2 linked regions of the Saccharomyces cerevisiae S288C genome follow. The protein of the gene in region 2 interacts with the protein of the main gene of each other region in a biochemical or structural test. Each region holds a gene or a part of one and is shown on either strand. Other genes may lie near its edges.

Region 1 (11,847 bases), on a different chromosome or scaffold from region 2:
CATGTTATTTGCTTCTTTGAGTTCTGTGAAGTTTATGGGCAAGCCATTAGTTCCATGTTTGTTGCTTCTCATATCCACTGCTGTACTTTCAGCTAGAAGCATTACACAATGGCCTAAATATATTTTCGGTGGTTTATTGTACGCTATCGCTATGCTTTGGTTAGTTCCTTCGTATTTTTCTGCATTAGGCCAAGTTCAAAACATATGGGTTTATGTCCTATCATTCTCCGTTTATATTATCTTTGTCCTTGCCCATGTTTGGGTCGTTGCATACGCATTTGTTCCAATGGGCTGGGTACTGAGGGAGAAGATTGAGACGGTTCTTGCCTTTTCTTCCACATTTATCATTATTGGTGCTTTAACATGCAAAAACCTTAACATTCAACTGGTGACTATGGGCAAAAAATTCTTCATTTATGTTTTCTTCTTTGCCGTGGCCCTGCTATCACTAACAGCTAGGTTCGTGTATGATATTAGACCTACAGGAATTCCTCAGCCTTATCATCCAGATTCTCAGTTGATTACAGCTGGTATTTGGACTATCCACTTTGGTCTCGATAATGATATGTGGGCATCTGAAGACAGAATGATCAACCTTATTAAAGATATGGAACTAGATGTGGTAGGTCTACTAGAAACAGATACACAAAGAATTACCATGGGGAACAGGGATCTAACTAGCAAACTAGCTCATGATTTGAATATGTATGCAGATTTCGGACCAGGTCCAAATAAACATACCTGGGGCTGTGTTCTTCTTTCTAAATTCCCTATCGTAAATTCTACGCATCATTTATTGCCCTCTCCAGTTGGGGAACTTGCGCCAGCCATTCATGCCACACTTCAAACGTACAATGACACTCTCGTTGACGTCTTTGTATTCCATAGTGGACAAGAAGAGGATGAAGAGGATAGAAGACTGCAAAGTAACTACATGGCTAAGCTCATGGGCAATACGACTCGCCCAGCTATTTTATTAAGTTACTTAGTTGTTGATCCAGGTGAAGGCAACTACAATACGTACGTTAGTGAAACATCCGGAATGCACGACATTGATCCTTCTGACGATGATAGATGGTGTGAGTATATCTTGTATAGGGGCTTGAGAAGAACAGGATATGCTAGAGTTGCAAGAGGAACGATAACCGATACGGAGCTACAAGTTGGTAAGTTCCAAGTTTTGAGTGAGCAAGCGTTAGTAGAGCACTCGGATTCTATGTATGAATACGGTCATATGAGTGAACCGGAATATGAGGACATGAAATTTCCAGATAAGTTTTTAGGCGAAGGTGAGAGGGGTCACTTCTACCATGTTTTTGATGAGCCACGTTATTACTTATAAGAGGCCGTAAGGTGGTTTTATAAATCAGTGTAATCACATTGTGTGTACTGAAAATCTTGATAACTTAAGGTAAGTTATGTATCCACCTGATTTTTTTGACCTCGAATTTTAAAAATTTATGTGATTTCTTTATGTATGTTACTTAGACGATCTTGTTATAGTTTTGTAAGAAATTATACTTCCTGAAACGATTTATCCCGCTACTTTTTGAGCGTATTTCACAGTAAAATATATACTACAACTGAACAACGTTGTTGAACTCTATGTTAAACATCAACGAAGAAATTCTTAAGTTCTATCTGCTCCGAGTCATCATTCTTCCAAATTTCTAGTAATTTCAGACTTCTTTGAACAAGCTCTTTATTCGGCATTTGTACTTCCTCTTGCTCGTCTTGTACCTCTTTTTGCTTCCCTTGTTCGGCATTACCGTCTTTTTCACCTTCTTCTTTTTCTTCACCATTAATTGGTTCGCTAGCCTTATCCTCTGCAATTAACGCTTTTATTTTTGTTTCTTGATCTTCCACATAGTCGTTCCATTGCTTCAGTTTTCCTTTGCATTTTGATATTAGTTCTTCTTTTGATTTACCTTGTAAGTCCCTGAAATATAAAAGCAAAAGATCATTATATACTGAGGGGATTTCGTCCAAGTTGAAAAAATGCTTAATAAGCCAATTTTGCTTTTGCTTGGAAAATTTCCAAACTTCAACAACACCAGACTCTGATGGCTCGTCTTTGATCAGGGAGTCGCCGTAATTTTCTTTTACACTTTCCAATTCTAGGATTCCGGTGGGAAACTTGCTCTCAGACTTTGTCCTGAAAAATTCTATCAGGTAACGTAATTGATCTTTAAGAATTTTATTTTTTTTCGAATTCTTTTCATCCTTTGACAATTTTTCCTTCTTCTTCGTCCCTGGTTTCGACACACGCTTCCCTTTTTTGGTAGAGGATTTGCTCTCACCATTAATGATTCTTTTTTTCTCTTTCTTTGTCAAATTACCAGTGGATAAATGCGTAGTGATATTTAGTGGATCATCATCTATTAGATTGGATTGGCCTTTTTCTTTACTTTCGTCACCACTGCTTATAGTCTGTCTCTTCAAAGCAATTCTTTTCCAGGCAGGAACGTGATTTTCGGACATTTAATTGTGAAGTGAATGTTTCTTCTGCTTGTAATTTGTCGATAAAGAAAGCACTTATGACAGTACTTTGATATTTGAATTTAGCTCATCTCTTTTCGTTCCTTTTTCTCGCTCGAAAATTTTCAATAATTTGCAGTAAAAAGGCGATGCCAGTAAAAAACTACCTGCAAAGGGAGCGTTAGACATATCTTTTATTGGCGACAAATATTTTTAGCGATATATATCCGTAAAGATCTGGCGATATTCTTTATCACTCGATGATAATAAATTCTTTTACACTTTGCTATTTTCCATGAGAACGGTTGGTATTCCTGTTCCCAATAACAAAAGCGTTTGCATATTTTTATGGTGAAGGTACTATCAACTGTAAAGTATGTACAATAGATTTATTAAAGGGAAACACTTTTCGTAGTAAGAAAAGCAGGTTTATAATTCAATTGTTTTAAAGCTGAATAATGCCGTGGTGTTAAACTACGACCGAGCTATAGCAACAGCATCGGCCACACACTCTCTCTTATTCTTATGTTAATAGTCGACCTTTCAAGGATGTTCTTGTTGGAATAGAAATCCACTATCGTCTATCAACTAATAGTTATATTATCAATATATTATCATATACGGTGTTAAGATGATGACATAAGTTATGAGAAGCTGTCATCGAAGTTAGAGGAAGCTGAAGTGCAAGGATTGATAATGTAATAGGATAATGAAACATATAAAATAGAAGAAGGGATAATCGTAATATTAGTATGTAGAAATATGGATTCCATTTTGAGGATTCCTCTATCCTTGAAGAGAACTCCTAGTATATTCCGTATACATAATATTGTTGCTTTTCTCGAATCATGTATCAAGATTACTAGCGCAAGTGGTTTAGTGGTAAAATCCAACGTTGCCATCGTTGGGCCCCCGGTTCGATTCCGGGCTTGCGCATCTTTTTTACTTTATATACTATTTTTTTTTTTTTTCTTTTTCCCAAATTTTTTCATGAAAAATTTGGCGGAACGGTACATAAGAATAGAAGAGATTCGTTATGAAAATTTTCTACTCTCTTTCACATTTTTTTTTTCATAAGAATTAAAAAAATAAGCTTAATGCCCTCTTTGTACGATGGTGTCACTCTAAAATTATTTACGTAATTTAATTGGATGTGATATCAAGCACTAGTTTTGTTTGGAGGAGCAGAGATTGAAAGCCTAGCTTTTACACCGGTTTGAGTCGGTTCCTTCGTTTTCTTAGTTGGAATTGATATAGAAGTGTGTGGACAATCGATTTGCAAAACTTTTTATTTTATGTATTACTACTGAGCTTGTTTATCTGTATACTTTTTTCTTATTATTATGTAGTTAGAGGTTAGTTCTTATCGTTTTCTTTAAAAGCGACCTTTCTTCGCACAAAGCAATGTTGACAATCGAGCCAATGCATTTAACAATTGCAGTAACCAGAAGCGAACAGTGGAGGATATGAAAACCATTATTATTTCAGATTTTGATGAAACAATCACAAGAGTTGACACAATCTGCACCATTGCTAAATTACCGTATCTACTGAACCCGCGGTTGAAACCTGAGTGGGGTCATTTTACCAAGACATATATGGACGGATACCATAAATACAAATACAATGGAACGAGATCACTGCCGTTGTTATCTTCAGGCGTACCTACGATAATTTCGCAGTCTAACTTCAATAAGTTGTTTGCGGACGAATTAAAATATCAAAATCATAACAGGGTTGTTGAGTTAAATAGTGTAAATGAAATTACAAAACAACAGATTTTTAAGTCGATTTCTTTGGATCAAATGAAAACGTTCGCCAGAGATCAGAATCACGAAGATTGTTTACTAAGAGATGGTTTCAAAACGTTTTGCTCTTCAGTTGTCAAAAATTTTGAAAGTGATTTTTACGTTTTATCTATAAATTGGTCAAAAGAGTTTATTCATGAAGTCATTGGTGACAGAAGACTTAAAAATAGTCATATTTTTTGTAACGATCTAAAAAAAGTTAGTGACAAGTGTTCTCAAAGCTACAATGGTGAATTTGATTGTCGGTTATTGACAGGCTCTGATAAGGTCAAGATACTGGGTGAAATATTAGATAAGATCGACTCAGGTTGCAATAAAGAAGGAAATTCTTGCAGCTATTGGTATATAGGGGATAGTGAGACTGACTTGTTGTCCATATTACATCCATCTACTAATGGTGTACTGCTAATAAACCCGCAAGAAAATCCTTCCAAATTCATAAAAATTACCGAAAAGATTATTGGTATCCCAAAGGATAAAATCTCGAGTTTTGAAGCTGATAATGGTCCAGCGTGGTTACAGTTTTGTGAAAAGGAAGGCGGTAAAGGTGCCTACCTTGTGAAATCCTGGGACTCTTTAAAAGATTTGATCATGCAGGTAACAAAAATGTAGAAACGGATGAAATCCTGTATATTCAAATTTATATAACCAGGACGTTGCAGTGCTAATAATAATGGAATACCGCTAATTTTCCTCCTGTTTTTTCTTTTTTAAGTAAAGATAAAATAGTATTTCACTTGCACTATTCTTCTATCTCCGTAATCGGTCTCGGTCTAAAATTACTTTGAGATGTTCAAATACATGGGGCTAATAATTTTAAGGGCTTGCAAAGAACTTATATGTCACAGTGATAATAAGTAAAGGATAAACATGCGACCTGTTAGACAAATCGCACATGTCTCTAAAGGGTAAATTTTTCGCCTTTTTACCTAATCCTAACACATCTTCCAATAAGTTCTTTAAGAGTATATTGGAGAAAAAGGGCGCCACAATTGTGTCAAGTATTCAAAATTGTCTTCAATCTAGCCGTAAGGAAGTGGTCATTTTGATTGAGGACTCCTTTGTTGATTCTGATATGCATTTGACTCAGAAAGATATTTTCCAAAGGGAAGCAGGCTTAAATGATGTCGATGAATTTCTTGGTAAGATTGAACAGTCAGGCATTCAATGTGTGAAAACCAGTTGCATCACAAAGTGGGTCCAGAATGATAAATTTGCGTTTCAAAAAGATGATTTGATTAAATTTCAACCATCCATTATCGTTATATCAGATAACGCTGATGACGGACAAAGTTCTACTGATAAAGAGAGTGAGATTTCAACTGACGTAGAAAGTGAAAGGAATGATGACAGCAACAATAAAGATATGATACAAGCTTCAAAACCTCTTAAGCGACTCTTACAGGGGGATAAAGGAAGAGCTTCCCTTGTTACTGACAAAACGAAGTACAAAAACAATGAATTGATTATCGGAGCGTTGAAAAGGTTAACAAAAAAATATGAGATCGAAGGTGAGAAATTTCGTGCAAGAAGTTATAGACTGGCTAAACAGTCGATGGAAAATTGCGATTTCAATGTTCGTTCCGGTGAAGAAGCACATACTAAATTAAGGAATATCGGGCCTAGTATTGCCAAAAAAATACAAGTTATATTAGATACGGGAGTTTTACCAGGTTTAAATGATTCAGTGGGATTAGAAGACAAGTTGAAATACTTCAAAAATTGTTACGGCATTGGGTCGGAAATTGCTAAACGCTGGAATCTTCTAAATTTTGAAAGCTTTTGTGTTGCAGCTAAGAAGGACCCAGAGGAGTTTGTATCAGATTGGACAATTTTATTTGGTTGGTCATATTACGACGATTGGTTATGCAAGATGTCTCGGAATGAATGTTTCACACATTTAAAGAAGGTTCAAAAAGCGCTGCGTGGCATTGATCCTGAATGCCAAGTCGAATTACAGGGAAGTTATAATAGGGGCTATTCCAAGTGTGGTGACATTGATCTTTTATTTTTCAAGCCGTTTTGTAATGACACGACCGAGTTGGCAAAAATCATGGAAACGCTTTGTATTAAGTTGTACAAGGATGGCTATATCCATTGTTTTTTACAGCTAACGCCAAACTTGGAAAAGCTATTCTTAAAAAGAATAGTGGAGAGATTTCGTACAGCGAAGATTGTTGGGTATGGAGAAAGAAAGAGGTGGTATTCTTCTGAGATAATCAAGAAATTTTTCATGGGAGTCAAATTGTCTCCAAGAGAATTAGAAGAACTGAAAGAAATGAAAAATGATGAAGGCACATTGTTAATTGAAGAAGAAGAAGAAGAAGAAACAAAATTAAAACCGATTGACCAATATATGTCTCTGAATGCCAAGGATGGAAATTATTGCAGAAGATTAGACTTTTTTTGTTGCAAGTGGGATGAGCTTGGAGCAGGAAGAATACACTATACTGGATCTAAAGAGTACAATAGATGGATAAGAATATTGGCAGCGCAAAAAGGCTTCAAGCTTACACAACACGGTTTATTTCGAAATAATATCCTTCTCGAAAGCTTTAACGAACGCAGAATTTTCGAGTTATTAAACTTAAAATACGCTGAACCCGAACATAGAAATATCGAATGGGAAAAAAAAACTGCATAAAGGCATTAAAAGAGGAGCGAATTTTTTTTTAATAAAAATCTTAATAATCATTAAAAGATAAATAATAGTCTATATATACGTATATAAATAAAAAATATTCAAAAAATAAAATAAACTATTATTTTAGCGTAAAGGATGGGGAAAGAGAAAAGAAAAAAATTGATCTATCGATTTCAATTCAATTCAATTTATTTCTTTTCGGATAAGAAAGCAACACCTGGCAATTCCTTACCTTCCAATAATTCCAAAGAAGCACCACCACCAGTAGAGACATGGGAGATCTTGTCAGTGACACCGTACTTCTTAGCGACAGTGGCAGTGTCACCACCACCAATGATGACGGTGTTACCAGCAGCAGAGCTCTTGACAACTTCGTCTAACAAAGCCTTAGTACCAGCAGCGAACTTTTCGAATTCGAAAACACCTGGTGGACCGTTCCAGACAATGGTCTTAGCCTTTGCAACAGTAGCAGCAAACAACTTTCTAGATTCTGGACCATTGTCCAACCCTTGCCAGCCAGCTGGAATACCTTCCTTGTCAGTGACAGTCTTGGTGTTGGCATCAGCAGAGAAAGCATCAGCAATGATGAAGTCGACTGGCAAGACGACTTCGACACCCTTGGCCTTGGCCTTTTCCATCAACTTTGGAACGATTTCAGCACCAGCCTTGTCGAAGATGGAGTCACCGATTTCAGTGTTTTCCAAAACCTTCTTGAAGGTGAAAGCCATACCACCACCAATGATGATAGAGTCGACCTTGTCCAACAAGTTGTCAATCAATTGAATCTTGTCAGCAACCTTGGCACCACCTAAGATGGCCAAGAATGGTCTGGTTGGGTTCTCCAAAGCCTTACCGAAGTACTTCAATTCCTTTTCCAACAAGAAACCGGCAGCACGTTGTGGCAAGTCGAAACCGACCATAGAAGAGTGAGCTCTGTGAGCGGTACCGAAGGCATCGTTGATGTAAACATCAGCCAAAGAGCTCAATTCGTGTCTGAACTTTTGAACATCTTCCTTGGAAGCCTTGACCTTTTGACCATCGACCTTTCTGGAACCTTCTTCTTCGATGTGGTAACGCAAGTTTTCCAACAAAATAACGGAACCTGGGGCAGAAGCCTTGACAGCGGCTTCAACTTCTGGACCGACACAGTCGTTCAAGAAGGTGACATCCTTACCCAACAATGATTGCAATTCCTTAGCAACTGGAGCCAAAGAGTATTTTTCGTTTCTTTCACCGTTTGGTCTACCCAAGTGAGAAGCCAAGACAACGTATCTTGGGTGGTGTTCCAAAACGTACTTGATGGTTGGCAAAGCAGCAACAATTCTTTGGTTAGAAGTGATCTTCTTACCGTCCAATGGGACGTTGAAGTCAACTCTGATGAAGACACGCTTGTCCTTCAAGTCCAAATCTTGGACAGACAACTTTGAAGATAAAGACATTGTTTTATATTTGTTGTAAAAAGTAGATAATTACTTCCTTGATGATCTGTAAAAAAGAGAAAAAGAAAGCATCTAAGAACTTGAAAAACTACGAATTAGAAAAGACCAAATATGTATTTCTTGCATTGACCAATTTATGCAAGTTTATATATATGTAAATGTAAGTTTCACGAGGTTCTACTAAACTAAACCACCCCCTTGGTTAGAAGAAAAGAGTGTGTGAGAACAGGCTGTTGTTGTCACACGATTCGGACAATTCTGTTTGAAAGAGAGAGAGTAACAGTACGATCGAACGAACTTTGCTCTGGAGATCACAGTGGGCATCATAGCATGTGGTACTAAACCCTTTCCCGCCATTCCAGAACCTTCGATTGCTTGTTACAAAACCTGTGAGCCGTCGCTAGGACCTTGTTGTGTGACGAAATTGGAAGCTGCAATCAATAGGAAGACAGGAAGTCGAGCGTGTCTGGGTTTTTTCAGTTTTGTTCTTTTTGCAAACAAATCACGAGCGACGGTAATTTCTTTCTCGATAAGAGGCCACGTGCTTTATGAGGGTAACATCAATTCAAGAAGGAGGGAAACACTTCCTTTTTCTGGCCCTGATAATAGTATGAGGGTGAAGCCAAAATAAAGGATTCGCGCCCAAATCGGCATCTTTAAATGCAGGTATGCGATAGTTCCTCACTCTTTCCTTACTCACGAGTAATTCTTGCAAATGCCTATTATGCAGATGTTATAATATCTGTGCGTCTTGAGTTGAAGTCAGGAATCTAAAATAAAAATTAAGGTTAATAAAAAGAGGAAAGAAAAAAAAATTAATCGATTTACAGAAACTTGCACACTAAAAATACACAACTAAAAGCAATTACAGTATGGGAAGTCATCGACGTTATCTCTACTATAGTATATTATCATTTCTATTATTATCCTGCTCAGTGGTACTTGCAAAACAAGATAAGACCCCATTCTTTGAAGGTACTTCTTCGAAAAATTCGCGTCTAACTGCACAAGATAAGGGCAATGATACATGCCCGCCATGTTTTAATTGTATGCTACCTATTTTTGAATGCAAACAGTTTTCTGAATGCAATTCGTACACTGGTAGATGTGAGTGTATAGAAGGGTTTGCAGGTGATGATTGCTCTCTGCCCCTCTGTGGCGGTCTATCACCGGATGAAAGCGGTAATAAGGATCGTCCCATAAGAGCACAAAATGACACCTGTCATTGTGATAACGGATGGGGAGGGATCAATTGTGACGTTTGTCAAGAAGATTTTGTCTGTGATGCGTTCATGCCTGATCCTAGTATTAAGGGGACATGTTATAAGAATGGTATGATTGTAGATAAAGTATTTTCAGGTTGTAATGTGACCAATGAGAAAATTCTACAGATTTTGAACGGCAAAATACCACAAATTACATTTGCCTGTGATAAACCTAATCAAGAATGTAATTTTCAGTTTTGGATAGATCAGTTAGAAAGCTTCTATTGTGGCTTAAGTGATTGTGCCTTTGAATACGACTTGGAACAGAATACCTCCCATTATAAGTGTAATGACGTTCAATGCAAATGCGTTCCCGACACTGTGTTGTGTGGTGCTAAGGGGTCTATAGATATCTCGGATTTCCTGACAGAGACAATAAAAGGGCCAGGAGATTTCAGCTGTGATTTAGAAACAAGGCAATGTAAATTCAGTGAGCCTTCTATGAATGATTTGATATTGACCGTGTTTGGTGACCCTTATATTACTTTGAAGTGTGAATCCGGTGAATGTGTTCATTATAGTGAGATTCCAGGTTACAAATCTCCTTCAAAAGATCCAACAGTGTCATGGCAAGGGAAATTGGTGTTGGCATTGACTGCTGTGATGGTCCTGGCACTTTTTACATTTGCTACCTTTTACATTTCTAAATCTCCGTTATTCAGAAATGGATTGGGTTCCTCAAAGTCTCCCATTCGTTTGCCAGATGAAGATGCGGTGAATAATTTCTTACAAAATGAAGATGACACACTGGCGACATTAAGTTTTGAAAATATCACTTATAGTGTCCCCTCGATAAATTCAGATGGTGTTGAAGAAACTGTGCTGAATGAAATAAGTGGTATCGTGAAGCCCGGCCAAATATTAGCTATCATGGGTGGATCTGGTGCGGGTAAAACTACTTTATTAGATATCCTAGCAATGAAACGGAAAACAGGTCACGTTTCGGGTTCCATAAAAGTTAACGGTATTAGTATGGACCGTAAATCTTTCTCGAAAATAATCGGGTTCGTCGATCAAGATGACTTTTTGCTGCCCACTTTGACTGTTTTTGAAACCGTATTAAATAGTGCGCTGTTAAGATTGCCAAAAGCATTGTCATTCGAGGCCAAGAAGGCAAGAGTTTATAAGGTGTTGGAAGAACTAAGAATTATTGATATCAAAGATCGTATTATTGGTAATGAATTTGATCGTGGTATTAGTGGAGGTGAAAAACGCCGAGTTTCCATTGCATGTGAATTAGTGACATCTCCATTGGTTTTATTTTTGGATGAACCTACATCTGGTTTAGATGCTAGTAATGCCAATAATGTTATTGAATGTTTGGTAAGGTTATCCAGCGACTATAACAGGACATTGGTGCTATCTATTCATCAGCCAAGATCAAATATATTTTATTTATTCGATAAATTGGTCCTGTTAAGTAAAGGTGAGATGGTCTATTCCGGAAATGCCAAAAAAGTGTCAGAATTTTTGAGAAATGAGGGATATATCTGTCCGGACAACTATAATATTGCTGATTATTTGATTGATATTACTTTTGAAGCCGGTCCTCAGGGGAAAAGGAGAAGAATCAGAAACATTTCCGATTTAGAAGCTGGTACGGATACTAACGATATTGATAATACGATACACCAAACAACATTTACTAGCAGTGATGGTACAACACAGAGAGAGTGGGCTCATCTTGCAGCTCATAGAGATGAGATCAGATCTTTACTCAGAGATGAAGAAGATGTAGAGGGAACAGATGGAAGGCGAGGTGCTACTGAGATTGACTTAAATACCAAACTACTACACGATAAATATAAAGATAGCGTCTATTATGCAGAGCTTTCACAGGAGATCGAGGAAGTTTTAAGCGAAGGTGATGAGGAAAGTAACGTTTTGAATGGAGATTTACCCACAGGTCAACAATCTGCTGGTTTTCTGCAACAGTTATCGATATTGAATTCAAGAAGTTTTAAAAACATGTACAGAAACCCTAAACTATTATTGGGTAATTATTTACTGACGATCCTATTGAGTTTATTCTTGGGAACACTATATTACAACGTCTCCAATGATATCAGCGGTTTTCAGAACAGAATGGGGCTGTTCTTCTTTATACTAACGTACTTCGGTTTTGTTACATTCACAGGTCTCAGCTCGTTCGCTCTGGAAAGGATCATTTTCATAAAAGAAAGATCCAATAACTATTACTCGCCACTTGCATA
Region 2 (4,763 bases):
ATCTAAAACCATCAAATTCTTCCTAACGTAATTTGTCAAGAAGTCTTCCGTTATAGAGCCACCACCTCTCGAAGAGACAGAAAAATCAATTAGAGCCACTAAATTGTACAACCAATATTGAGAGTCTGTTTCCACCACAGTGAACTCAAATATCCTTTGGATAAGCTCAGTAGGCAAATACGTTAAAGCGGCAACCATCCTTTTCACTTCTACCCGGAGAATATATAACTTTCGAAATCACAGCCTATATATTGCACAAATTTCACGTAGAGCTCTAGCTGTGAAGATAGAATCATCAACTTTAAATTTGCTTAAATCTATTTATACAAGAAATGATCAACTGAATAAAATAACGAGCGGCTGAAAATTAAGGGTTCTTTCGTGTGTGGAGTTACAGTCCGTTGCAACGCCTTTCCAACATGCACACAAAACCAACAGTGGCTTATTCGCCAGAGGGTACAACAATGACTCAGAAATCATGAAGAGGCATTAACAGCGGTCAGCAGTGGAGCAATAACAACAGGGTCATTACTTCTTTACTACTTGTACTTAGAATACATCACGACAAGGTGCAATGCGGCGCCTTTCCGCGTTGACAAACTCTTGAAAAGCCCATGACAGGTGGAAAACACGTGGTTGGTACGGGACGAATAAGAAAGAGGCAAACGGCACTTAGTTTGTTGGGATGGATGGATCCCATTTTCCTATGAAATCTACTACCGGAGAGCCCGTTTCAAGTGGTAAGAAGGGCAAGAGGAGGAAGGTCATCAAGTCATGTGCATTTTGTAGAAAAAGAAAACTGAAATGCAGTCAGGCCAGGCCTATGTGTCAGCAATGTGTAATTAGAAAACTACCGCAATGCGTTTACACAGAAGAGTTCAACTATCCCTTGTCTAATACGGAACTGTTCGAGCAAGTGCCCAATGTAGCGTTGGTTCAGAAGATTGAGAATTTGCAGACTCTACTGAAGGAAAACGATAACAATAATGCGAAACCGGTGTATTGCAGGAGTTCAGAAAATCCATTACGGTCACTGAGAACTTCGGTTTTAGGTGATAATGGCTCGAGGTATGTGTTTGGCCCCACTTCCTGGAAAACTTTATCTTTGTTTGAACAAAATAAGTTTCAAACTGAGTTTCAAAATTTATGGAAAGTCTTGAAACCACTTCCTGAATGCACTAAATCGCAATTAAATGAAAATGATGTTGTAGCAGATTTGCCTAGTTTTCCTCAAATGGAAAGCTGTATTAAATCTTTTTTTGCTGGACCGCTGTTCGGCATATTGCATATCTTCAACCAAGACGATATTCTGTCCCTCTTGGACAGACTTTTTATTAGAGATACCACGGACAAGAACCTAGTCATCCTCCTCGATTTGCAAGGTAATGCAAAAGATAAGTATAATCTTGGCATTGTACTTCAAATTCTTTGCTTGGGCTATTATAACCAAGATATCCCTTCTTCCGTGAGTCATTTCCTTCACACTTTAAGTGCAGCGTCCTTGTCATCATCGAGCTCAAATTTCGTGGAAAAACTACAATTTTTCTTATTGTCCTATATTAGTGTAATGATAAATTGCACGGACGGTGTATGGGATGCGACTCAAGGCGTTGACTTAATCAACGAGCTATGCCAGGGGTGCATAAGTTTGGGTTTAAATGATATTGATAAATGGTATTTGAACGAAAGTGAGGAAACCAAACAAAACTTGAGGTGTATTTGGTTTTGGGCTTTATTCCTTGATGTATCCACCTCATATGATATAGGTAATCCTCCGTCTATTTCAGATGATCTTTTGGACTTAAGTATATTTACTGCGCAGAATTTCCAATCACCGAGTATTGACTTTAGGAGAGTTAAGCTAATGCACGATTTTTTAGATGTTTCCCGATTCACTACTCGTGAAATTCACAAGAGAGAGATGAACGAAAAATTGACCACTTTTTCATTGAGATTGATTGAATTTATACAATCTAACTTTTCACCTATCGAACATTATACAAATTCAGTTTACTACTCTGATATTGATCCCTTTGATATATTGATTTTATCAAGATCTCTAAGTATAGTTGCTAGTATATACAATATTGAGATGATCATCGCTCAACAAAGCAGAATCATAGATAAGAACAGAATGGTTCAGTTCTTGTTGATATCCATATCAGTCTGTGTTAATACAATGGTATTTCATTTTAAAGAGCCTATCAACGACCAGGAGAACGTGTTAACTGAAGGGCTAAAACTGTCTATTATTCTAATCAATCCACTTTTAATACGAATAGTATCGCAAGTGTACAGTTTAGCATTTAATAGGTTAATCTTCAGGGAGAAGGCATTCCTTTTCCTTATTGACCTTGACACTGGGAAAAAAATACAATTCATTAAATATGAAGAAGAAAACTTTGATGAACTTTTGACAGGATTCGATGTTAGGACTGATAAATTTCTGTCATTTTCAGGAACAATAATAAGATTTTACGAAATTATTGATAGCATATTTGCTGTTAATGAAAGAAATAAGCGATTGTTAAAAGCAGTTTCCAATTTTTATCAGTTAACTTCAACTTTGGCGTTTGAACGCGTAAGTAGGGTTTTATTCGATAAAGCGTCCCAAGCAAGAATAGAGACTGAAAAAATTTGGCTGAAAAAGGGCATTAATATGGAGCACTTCAGTGATCTCATGATTGAAGATTTTATTAATGATGTTTGGAAAACGTTCAAAGAGATTTCCAAAGACCTTTGGTCCATTGACAAAAAGAAATTTTATAAACAATATCATTTCGATTTATAAATGTATTTATGATTGATGTATTTTTTTACATGGATTTTTTCGTCCCAAAAAGGGATGATAGTGTTGGCAGCGGGCAAACACAAAATAGTGTCATATAAGTGGAAACCCTATGGAGAATAACCATAACAACGGCCAGATAGGAGGTTAATCTTACACATGTGTGATGGATTCTGAGTTGAAAGGGCAGCAGCTAAGTGATGCAGAATGGTGTGTTAAAAAAATTAATGGTGAGGGAAATTGTCTCCTATTATTTCTACCGATGTCATCTCCAACCACAATTGTAATGATTGTTTTAGTTTCCTTGGAGCGCTTAGTTCCCTACGTTTTCAAACTTTCACAAACTCAATTATCACAGCAATGCCAGAGCCAAGGTTTTACGGATAGTATATCATTAAATCTAATTAAACTAAAACTAATGGACATTCTACAAGCTCCTCAAGAAATTAACCAAATTGGATTGGTAGATTCAAATTTGGTTTTTAGTTTCGATGTATCTGCGGATATTACAGTTTCCATAAATAGCGTACCTTCACATGTTACTAAGGATATGTTCTATATGATTTTGCAAAGTTTATGCATGCTTTTATTAAAATTGGTAAACCTTTCCACCCAATACCACTATGTACAACGGGATATTTTGAATGAAAAGCAAAAATGCTTAGATTTTCTTTTAATTTCTCTTCGTGATTTAGACGGTGGGAGTAAAGTTATCAGTCAATGGGCTCCTGAAAATTCTAAGAATTATGAATCTCTGCAGCAATGCACAGACGATGACATAATCAAAAAATTACTACATAAAGGAAAATTCCAGCATCAAGAATTTCTGGCGGACTCATTAAAAACATTATTATCTTTAAGAAACAAATTTCAAGATGTGTCGCGGTTTGAAGAATCTGGAGAACTTAACAAAAAAGAGCGCGTCAGATTTCCTGCGGTGAATCATTTTTATAATGATGATTTTGAATTGCAAGCAGACCCTACAAATGAGGCTCGACCAAATAGCCGCGGTAAAATTAAACCAAAGACAGATTTCAAGCCAAAATCTAGAGAAAGTAGTACCAGTTCGCAACTTCGCCTGGAGAATTTTTCTGAATCTGAGGCTACACCAGAAAAAACAAAATCAAGTTCTTCTTTGGTCGAAGAATACCCACAGAAAAAAAGAAAATTTGGAAAGGTGAGAATAAAAAACTAAGGCAAGTCAATTAAACGTCAAAAATTAAGGTTGGACCTTTCAAATAGTTCTATTCCTTTGTTGACGCATTGATAATGTTAATTTATTGAATGGTAACGTTATGCCATTGATAGGGAGCATATAAGTTTATATGTATTAGGACAGTTCTAATTGTTTATTATTAATCTAACGGTAGTTTCAAGCAGTATCTTACATCACTGCAGCTTCTGAGTGTCTAAATGATAAACTGCATAAAAAATAGCCGCGCAAGCTCGCCATCACTGTAAATGAAATTTAGACGCAAAACATAACCGCGGATGTAAACTTACTTAATAAGAGCGATTGGCAAAAGAGCCACAAAAAAAAATTGGATCAATATCTGGTGCATGGGTCTAAAAAAATTAAGCAAAACCACAACACCACGCGTTATGACAGCAGTTTTAGAGACTGTTTCTTTCTCTTCTATTGTATGAAGTAATCAGATTATTATATTGAGTAAGTACATGAATGTAATATTTAAATTGTATTTAACGATAGATGCACCAAAAAAAAAGAAAGTTACAGTAAGAGACTTCTTGTCGATTCGTTATTCCATGCCATACAGGTTAGCCTCAAATTAATTAATTCTTAAAATTCAGTAAACATTCTGGAATCCAAAAAAGTAACAAGTTCGTCGAATATCTCATCAATTATAGTGAGTTGTACACTCAACCCACCTCCAAAAAACCACAAAAATTAAGTGACTTCAATCATTTAATTCATTTTTTGAAAAATTGACATCATTGAGTATTTCTACGCATT

What was found.
Region 1: the proteins of NEJ1 (region 2) and POL4 form a complex in vitro, tested with the Saccharomyces cerevisiae proteins (one study listed by BioGRID).

The regions. Positions count from the first base shown.
Region 1 is NC_001135.5:134,268-146,114, reverse strand, and holds POL4 (DNA-directed DNA polymerase IV), read left to right. Parts: upstream 1-5,181; coding exon 5,182-6,930; downstream 6,931-11,847. Other genes in the region: CWH43 (Cwh43p), read left to right, coding at 1-1,342; RNA-binding ribosome assembly factor RBP95, read right to left, coding at 1,609-2,481; CTO1 (Cto1p), read left to right, coding at 3,945-4,898; PGK1 (phosphoglycerate kinase), read right to left, coding at 7,119-8,369; putative ATP-dependent permease ADP1, read left to right, coding at 9,242-11,847. UniProt on the Saccharomyces cerevisiae protein: Repair polymerase. Involved in gap-filling in DNA nonhomologous end joining (NHEJ) required for double-strand break repair. Seems to conduct DNA synthesis in a stepwise distributive fashion rather than in a processive fashion as for other DNA polymerases.
Region 2 is NC_001144.5:673,647-678,409, reverse strand, and holds NEJ1 (Nej1p), read left to right. Parts: upstream 1-2,954; coding exon 2,955-3,983; downstream 3,984-4,763. Other genes in the region: BOP2 (Bop2p), read right to left, coding at 1-198; PDR8 (Pdr8p), read left to right, coding at 686-2,791; YLR264C-A (uncharacterized protein), read left to right, coding at 4,466-4,582. UniProt on the Saccharomyces cerevisiae protein: Involved in non-homologous end joining (NHEJ). Facilitates the transport of LIF1 into the nucleus, where it can interact with DNA ligase DNL4 to repair double-strand breaks (DSB). Mediates mating-type regulation of NHEJ.